Danio rerio: one gene and its partner. The protein of the gene in region 1 purifies or fractionates together with the protein of each later gene. This does not show direct contact. Links are inferred from orthologs where the notes say so. Each region holds a gene or a part of one and is shown on either strand. Other genes may lie near its edges. The genes, in order: yeats2 and zzz3.

Region 1 (3,821 bases):
TTGAGTTTTGGAACTGAACTTTGGCTGTTGATGATGCTGTTACCCGAGAACACGAGGGCGCAAGATCGCTGAAGAATGCATATTGAGAAAGGGCAATACTTTCCTACAAATTTCAGTTGCAACTCTGACCAAACACACCCGTCTGTAATTATCAAGTGCTGCTTCAGGTTCTGTTTAAAGGTGCAGTAGGTGATCTGCCAAAATGCTAACCACTTAGCATATTATCTTTGGACAGCAGGGAGGGACTGGGATTCAAAGCCACACCCCCCGAAATCGCGAGCGTGCGCACCGCGTCACAACAGCAGACAGACAACACACTAGTTCATGTCATTCGCCAGTTAGTTAGTGTTTAGCCAGCGCCGTGCAGGAATTACATTTATTACTTAGCCACACTTGCATGCTATTTCAGAGCGAATATTCAGAGTAGCATGGTAAACAGTATAGGAAGGCTGTCATTGTTCAAAAATAAAAACCCTGTTTACACCCATGTTTAGCGTTGTGCACTGATGATCTGATTGACAAAAATGCATCTTAAAGGGTTAGTTTAATGAAAGTTATGTTATTAATTACTCACTCTTATGTTGTTTCAAAAGCACAAGACCTTCTATCCTCATAATAACTTTATTCATTTTCTTTTTGACTTAATCCTTTATTCCACTGCAGGCACATGGACATTTTTAAGGATGTTATTGGAGACTTTCTTAACAAATTGAGTCTATTACTGTCTATGGAGGATGATGGAGCTCTTAGATCTCATCCAAAATATTTTCAATTGTATTCCGAAGATGAACAAAGGTCTTGGGGGGGTTGGAATGACATGAGGGTTAGTAATGTGTAACAGACATTTAATTTTTTGGTGTAAACTAACCTTTTGATAACAGATATAAACAAGACTCAAGAGTCTTATTGTACACTCATGTTTGTAGTTGGTAGGATTTTTTAAATTCTTTTGTAATATGTTTAATATATTGATACAAGAAACGTTTCTTATCATTAAAAATGTTTAAAACGTTTGCAGCTTAATTTTATTGAAGAAACTACAACAAATTGTTAATAGAATATTTACAACAACTGTATTTATGTTGTAACAGGAATAAAATGCTTTTATTGTCACCTTTGAGTCTTAATAATTCTTGCTTTGCTTAAATATTCAACTAAAGTATTTCATTTAAAAAAATGACTCCAGTTTTAGCAAAGGTGCAATATTCTATTTTTAAGTTTTTATCAATACAGAACAGGCAGTGCCCTCTAGAGGAGGTGATTGTATCTCTAACTGTGGTGCATTTGTCAAATCTGTGTGTTTAGTGAGCCACCGTTTCACCTGACCCGTCGAGGGTGGGGAGAGTTTCCTGTCCGTGTGCAGATCCACTTTAAAGACCAACGGAACAAACGTATCGACATCATCCACCACTTAAAGGTCAGACACTTGCTGACCGCTTGCACGCACGCTGTCTTTGAACCCCTTTTGTTGCCCTTTTCGTCTTTCCTTTTCCCCCTCTTTCTTTTGCTTTGTACTTTCATCTGTGAGGAATTCAAGCAGTAGATGACTTGCATCCACCTCCATGTCTTTGATATTATTCACTGAGAGGATGTTTTGTTTCTGCGAATTGTGCAGAATAGAATATGTCTGTACGAATCCATTATTTTATACATGGTGTTTCTAATCTAAAGGTAAAAAAGGTGGATTTTTTTAAAGCAGTCTGTCTGTTTAGATTTCCTTTCTTCTTTTATCTCTTGTCACAGCAATCTCTTTTGTTCTTGGTAGAAAAAAAAAAGATTAAATAGAGGGGCATGAAGTGTGAAAAAAGAAACGTTTGTGGGTTGAAGTACTTCATCTGCCATCCACTGCAAATACTGTTGAATGTTTTTTGATGTCAGTGTTAATCTTCTTTTATTTCTTCTCCATCAGCTTGACCGAACATACACAGGTTTGCAGACTTTGGGAGCTGAAACGGTAAGATAAACACAAGCTGTACTCATAAGTTTATATGACCATTCTAATTTGTTTATATAGAACGTTTTTTTATTTTTAAATTCAAGATATGTTGAAAAATTATGAGGTGACGCAATGGCTCAGTGGTTAGCACTGTCGCCTCGCAGCAAGAAAGTTGCTGGTTTGAGTCCTGGTTGTCAGTTGTCAGTTTACTGTTGCCCCACAGTCCCAAGACATGCAGTATAGGTGAATTGAATAAACTAAATTGGCCATAGTGTATGTGTGTGAATGGGAGTATGGGTGTTTTCCAGTTCTGGGTTGCAGCTGGCAGGGCATCCGCTGTGTAATACATATGCTGAATAAGTTGGCGGTTCATTCCGCTGTGGCGATCCCTAATAAATAAAGGGACTAAGCTAAAGGAAGCTTTTTTTTCCCCTATATTCTGTACTACCCTGAAGAAACACAACTGTCACAAAAAGCTACAAACAGACGTTACTGCTCAAGTAGGCAACACACAATATTAATAACACTATATTAATGTTTTAATAACTGGATATTTTCTGTAACTTCATTTATTATTTTGTCTTGTGTAGTATAAAAATGATATTTCATGGTACATTTTTAATTCTAGGTTAAATTCTGGGTTAACACAGGAAATGTTTAACTTGTGCAATAAGCATGTGTAAATGAGCTTCTGTTAAAAATAGAAGCCAAGGTCTCGACTGTCAATATAGTAATGAAAATGTCAGTCTTCAAAATGATGGCGAGCACAAATCTGCAGTTTTGGTTAGTGCAAGTGTCAGTGAGGTAAATGAAAAGTATGAGTGAATGTGTCAGCTGAAGATTTATTGATGTTGTTCACTTTTAAGAAAATAAGAAATGGAATAAATCCTAGTTTCTAGGTTCTGACCTTGATATTACATTGTATTTCAACCAACTTTTCAGAATATACTGTATGCTCAAATATTTGTGAAGAAGGTTTCTTCAGTAAAAGTGCAGAGGTTTTATAGTTCTAAACTCCTTTTTTTGACATTGGTGTTTTATTTTTCAGATTTGTAATTTTTTTTAAATGCCATTTTTCAATTGCTTTGTCTTTTTCCTCTGAAGGTGGTGGATGTTCAGCTCTACAGGAACTCACTGGGTGATGACTTCATCCCCTCTGCCCCTTCATCATCCTCATCATCATCTTCTTATCCAGCATTCGTAGGCGGATCTGGCTCCTCCTCCTCAACTATCCATGGCTCTAGGAGAAACTCCTCTCCCTCTCATCCTGCTCATGATGATCAACACAGCTCAGAAAGAGGTAGACAGACTCGTGGTTGTCCATTTTACAGTGTCTACACAAAAGAATTTCACCTCTTAGATGTCCATTTATATGTATGCGAATGTTCTAGATCAGAAACGCAAGCTCGTGTGACAAGTTTTGCATGTCCAAAGTTCAAGCTTGGTGAACTCTGACCTCCCAAGTTTGCATTTTGTCATTGCGTGAGACCAATAGAAGATCAAAACTTGACCTCTCTGTACAGAAATGTGAAATATGATGGAGCAGTCACTGTTTTTATCAGTGCTTCATCATCTTGTTTTATCCCTCTCCTTTTTATCTCTCGATTTAAAAACATCCTGTATAAGATAATAAATTCAAACAGACATATTCTATTATGTACATAAACATGGTGAATGACTGTCGTGTACTACTTGCTCAAATTAATGTGGCCACAGCTTTTATATATTTACCCACTTGCTCTATCCTTTTTATAAAGAGAGGATTAGTAGGATATTTGCACTTTATTGCATGAGAAGTGGAAGCTGTGATTTAATCGTCTGTTTATTATTCTTTGCCTGCACAAATAAATTATGTGCCAATGCTTTTTGTGCTTGTGACAACTTA
Region 2 (4,326 bases), about 39 Mb from region 1:
GGACACCAGGTTTTCAATAATTTTTCTTTTTGGCTAGCAAACAGAAGCCTTAACAGAAGGGAGAATGATCATTGATTTGGGACTGCAACTAACAATTACTTGAATCAGATAAAAAAAAAGAATTAATTTCAAAGTTCCAACCCTTTATTAAAATCAGAACTACAATCTTTAGAAAGTGCTCAAACATGTTGCTCCTTAACGTGATGCGCACACCATGTGTACGTCACTCCCATGTGCACCTCCTTTGGAAATGACAAACTGACTCTAAGCTTATTGGCATTGCTTCCAAGGTGCGCGCTCGGCAGACACATTTTAATAAAACTATAGCGCTTCATACCGAAACTACATACCAAACTTTTTTTGTTACTGATATCGACAATGGTGTTCAGTTAATAAATACAGTTAAATCTTTCTCCTAACCATCTCAGGTCACGTATTTTTTATTTATATTTTTTTCATACAAGTTAAAGAAATCATAACTACTGCGCTTCTACCACCTCAGTTTCCCAGAACTTCTGGAGCTTGTTTAGTCATAAAAGCCTGTGATCTCGATTTTTATCGCCCAGCCCTATGCTTCACCCCTGAGCCTGACATCATTATTAGACAATTCAACACCCAAGTAGACCCATATTCCTATGCTTTGCTCAGTCCAGGGTGCAGAGCCCTTGAATGGGGACTTAAATGTTACCATGACAAAGCAAAGCAGCAACCACAGAAATGTTTTATTGTTTATTTTCCGAGCGATTAAATTGAAGTTTTATAATTATGTTTTCAAAATATGCTGTCAATTTCAATCTCTTCCAGTACTAAACACAATTCTTACCTATGAAGTACTAAGAGAAAGTGTTGGTGGTATTTCACAAATGTAATTGAGTATTTAAGGAATTTAATTGAGTGTACTAGAGGTTATAGGAGGAATGTGTTTTCTGCAGTCTGTTTATATATCAATAATAATACAATTGGTTACAGTGAAGTAAGCATTAGTCTTTAATCAAGAACATGATCTTTCAACTGTTAGTTCTGCAGCTTTATCGTACGTTTTTGTTTTTTAATTTTTAAAAGTTAAAACTTTTCTGTGTGTAAATGTAACTTCTTATGAACTTGTTTTACATGAATCCACTACATTTCAGAATATACTAACCTCTGTTTAAACTTGTGAACATTTCAGTGCTGTGCAGCAACTTTGATTTAACCTGAGCACATTTGCATGCATTCTCAAATATGTATGTTCTTCAGGAACAGCAACCGATTACATCTTTTCTGTCTATTTTTTGTTATACACTTAAACCTGTGTAATTTAGAATCTGAACGGTCTGTAATTAGTCTCTCATTGTGTCACTCAGGTGCCCACATACTGCTGCTGAGGAGAGAGCACCACGATGAGGAGACAGTAGGCACCCACCATAGTATGGCCGCGTCCCGCTCTTCGCGCGTCACAAGATCATCAGTGGGGATAAATGGATTGGATGAGAACTTTTGTGGCCGAACCCTCAGGAACCGCAGCATCGCCCAGCCGGAAGAGAGCTCTCCGCCTCCCGTGCCCAGAGCTCGCTCACCCAAAAAGAAGCAGGACTGTCAGCAGCACCAGCAGACCGGAGCACAGGTTGGAAAGGTAACTGAGAGCAAAGCGGAGGGCGAACCCGTGCCTGCATGTGGAAAACGTGGCTTGCCGAGCTCCGAGAAGGAAGATTCGGACAAATTTGATAACTGTGAGCGTCAAAGGTCTGGGTGTGGGCCTGAAGCCTCACCTGCCCTGAAGAGGGCCAAACGCTGTCCTCGCTCAGGTGAATCACAGGGGGCAGAGGAAGAGCCTTCTCTCAAACCCGAGAGCCCCGATCCTGCTGTATTGAAGGAAAATGACGATGGCGCCAAATCAAATAATACTTCAGCCTCAGACAAAGAGGCTGATCAGAAAAAGGATGGCCCAACAGAAGAGATCGCCCCTCAACCAGAGGTCAGCGAGAACGTCAAAGCAACCAATGGCCTCGCTGAACTCTATAGAGAGGACTCAGAAGTTGCGGCCTTACCTGTGGAGCCCTGTGCCTCCCCTGCCACACTCAACAGCAGTCCCTCACTGTTAAATGGCAGCCAGGCTGCGCCCTCATCCCCCGACCCTATTGTGCCTTGTAGATCCCCTCATCCCAAGCAAACCAATGAGCCCGACAGCCCTAAAATTGACTGTGAGAGGAACTGCACACCTGAGGAAGCCGCTGAGGCTGTGCTGTCTCAGGAACCCGAGATGGAGGTAGAGGTCGATGTTGTGGGAGAGGCTGGCCAGGCTCAGGATGAATTCGTGAGAGAGGAGAGCACCAATGGTGACTTTCAGGCTGAACCACAGGACCCTTCTGACAACTGCTCGAATATCTCAGGAGAAACGCTGTTGGCTGCTTCTCAGCTGCCCGCCGAGCCCCCCTCCTTCACAGAGCCTCAAGAACACCGCTACACCCTGAGGACTTCACCGCGCCGCGCTGCCTTTGGTAGCGGGCTCAAAGCCAGCTCCCCCAAACCCACTTCCCCACACATAGACAATGGTTCACTGAAGGAAGAGACCACAATGGTTCCTTTTTTCTCAGAGGACACCAGCCATAAAGACCCTTCCCATGATGCACTGGGACTTTCTTGCGAGGCAGACAGTGAACTTTTCGAGGAAGAGGTTGTCAGCGGAGAGGTCGGAGTGTCTGATAGTAGAGAGTCAAGATCCACCAAAGAGCTGCTGGCTGCTCAGGCTGAGGAAGATGAGGAGGAGGAAGAGGACCCAGATGTCTACTATTTTGAGTCGGATCACTTGGCTCTCAAACACAACAAAGAGTATGTTTAGGTTTACGTTCTTTCATTTGAATCTTTTTCATAATTGCGGTGATTCAAGATTATTGATTAGAAATTTGCTTTTGGCTACCCCAAACCCAGCATTTAAACCCAACAACCCAACTTTGAATACAACGGACATGAATCATGTAGCTTTATGAGAAGTCTTAAGTCGACTGTCAGCCAGAAATACTGTAGGTTAAGAAGTATGTTTTGGTTGACTTTTATGTCTGTCACCAGTTTGAACCTGTTAAAAAAAATCTACAAATTAAAAATCTTTGATCCATATTCAGATTTTCAGATCAGCTACATTTCTATTAAAATTATTGGACTTTGTTGGTGATCTGAAAATCTGACTGCAACTGTAGTTTGGACAGACCAGAGCAATGTTTAAAAACCTATAGTATCGTTCATCTGTTGCTTTAAGGAACCTCATAATGGCGCGTTTTCACTAAGCCGGACGGTACGGTACGGGTCTGTACGAGTCACCTTTATCAGGGTTGCGTTTCCATTGCCAAAAGGGTACCAATGGTACTCTTTTGGTGGGCATGGTATTCAACAGAAAGTTTCAGTCAACGTCCTTCTAGCTTGAGGAAATGTCAAAGTAAAGCTGTGCAATCAGTGCAAACCTCTCATCTGTATCTTTAATCTTCACCTGCGGTTAAAAAAGCTATTCATAAGTTTATAATAGTTCAAAAGGCGACAATAGTAGTTAAACATTGTCGTTTGTTCATGGTTTAGGTTGCTGAAAGAATCATTTGCTCATTTGTTTTTTTGTTTTTCTGGCTTCTTTTTTGTTTTTTCGCACTATACTCTCGCGTTGGTCTGTTTCTGAAAGGATTGGATGTCTGAAGCACTTTATTAATCATGCGCACGTTATTATAATCAGCTCAAAAAGTTTGTTATTTCAAATATAGAAGCATGACGAACGCACACAAGACAGCAAAACTGCTCGCCCTTTAAATAACTACTGGCCACAGGGTAGATTCTGCTCTTTTTGGCTTTGTGGCTGTTCATCAAGACAACGACAAGGTTGTTTGAGCTCAGGTCAACCATGGTTCGTTATTATATGTATATATTATTATGGTCTAGTGCAGGGGTCACCAATCTTTGTTCTGGAGGGCCAGTGTCCCTGCAGGGTTTAGCTCCAACTTGCCCTAATCCACCTGCCTGAGTGTTTTAAGTATACCTAGTATTGTACATATGTATTTGATTAGGGTTGGAGCTAAAATCTGCAGTACACAGACCCTTCAGGAACAAGTTTGGTGACCCCTGGTGTAATGTCTCAGCTGTGTATTTAAAAAAGGTGATTCCTTTGTTTTTATTCTCCTGCTTTTGCGTGTAACGTATCTCTGTAAACCAGTAGCGTTTAGTTGCACGTCTTGCTCCGCCCTTTGGTACCCTTTTGTTGTGCTAGGTACCCTTTGCAAAGGGTACCCAAAAGTGGTACGGTTTGCTTTTTAGGTACCTTTTGACAGTGGAAACGGCCTTAAAAGCGCACTGAACCGAACCGTACCACTA

What was found.
Region 2: the proteins of yeats2 (region 1) and zzz3 purify together in Homo sapiens (affinity purification with mass spectrometry; 3 studies listed by BioGRID, with this or other methods). This does not show direct contact. The link is inferred for Danio rerio from reciprocal best matches to the Homo sapiens genes YEATS2 and ZZZ3.

The regions. Positions count from the first base shown.
Region 1 is NC_133177.1:47,779,287-47,783,107, forward strand, and holds part of yeats2 (YEATS domain-containing protein 2), read left to right. Parts: intron 1-1,305; coding exon 1,306-1,417; intron 1,418-1,909; coding exon 1,910-1,954; intron 1,955-3,040; coding exon 3,041-3,236; intron 3,237-3,821. UniProt on the Homo sapiens protein: Chromatin reader component of the ATAC complex, a complex with histone acetyltransferase activity on histones H3 and H4. YEATS2 specifically recognizes and binds histone H3 crotonylated at 'Lys-27' (H3K27cr).
Region 2 is NC_133177.1:9,147,931-9,152,256, forward strand, and holds the start of zzz3 (ZZ-type zinc finger-containing protein 3), read left to right. Parts: upstream 1-1,408; coding exon 1,409-2,808; intron 2,809-4,326.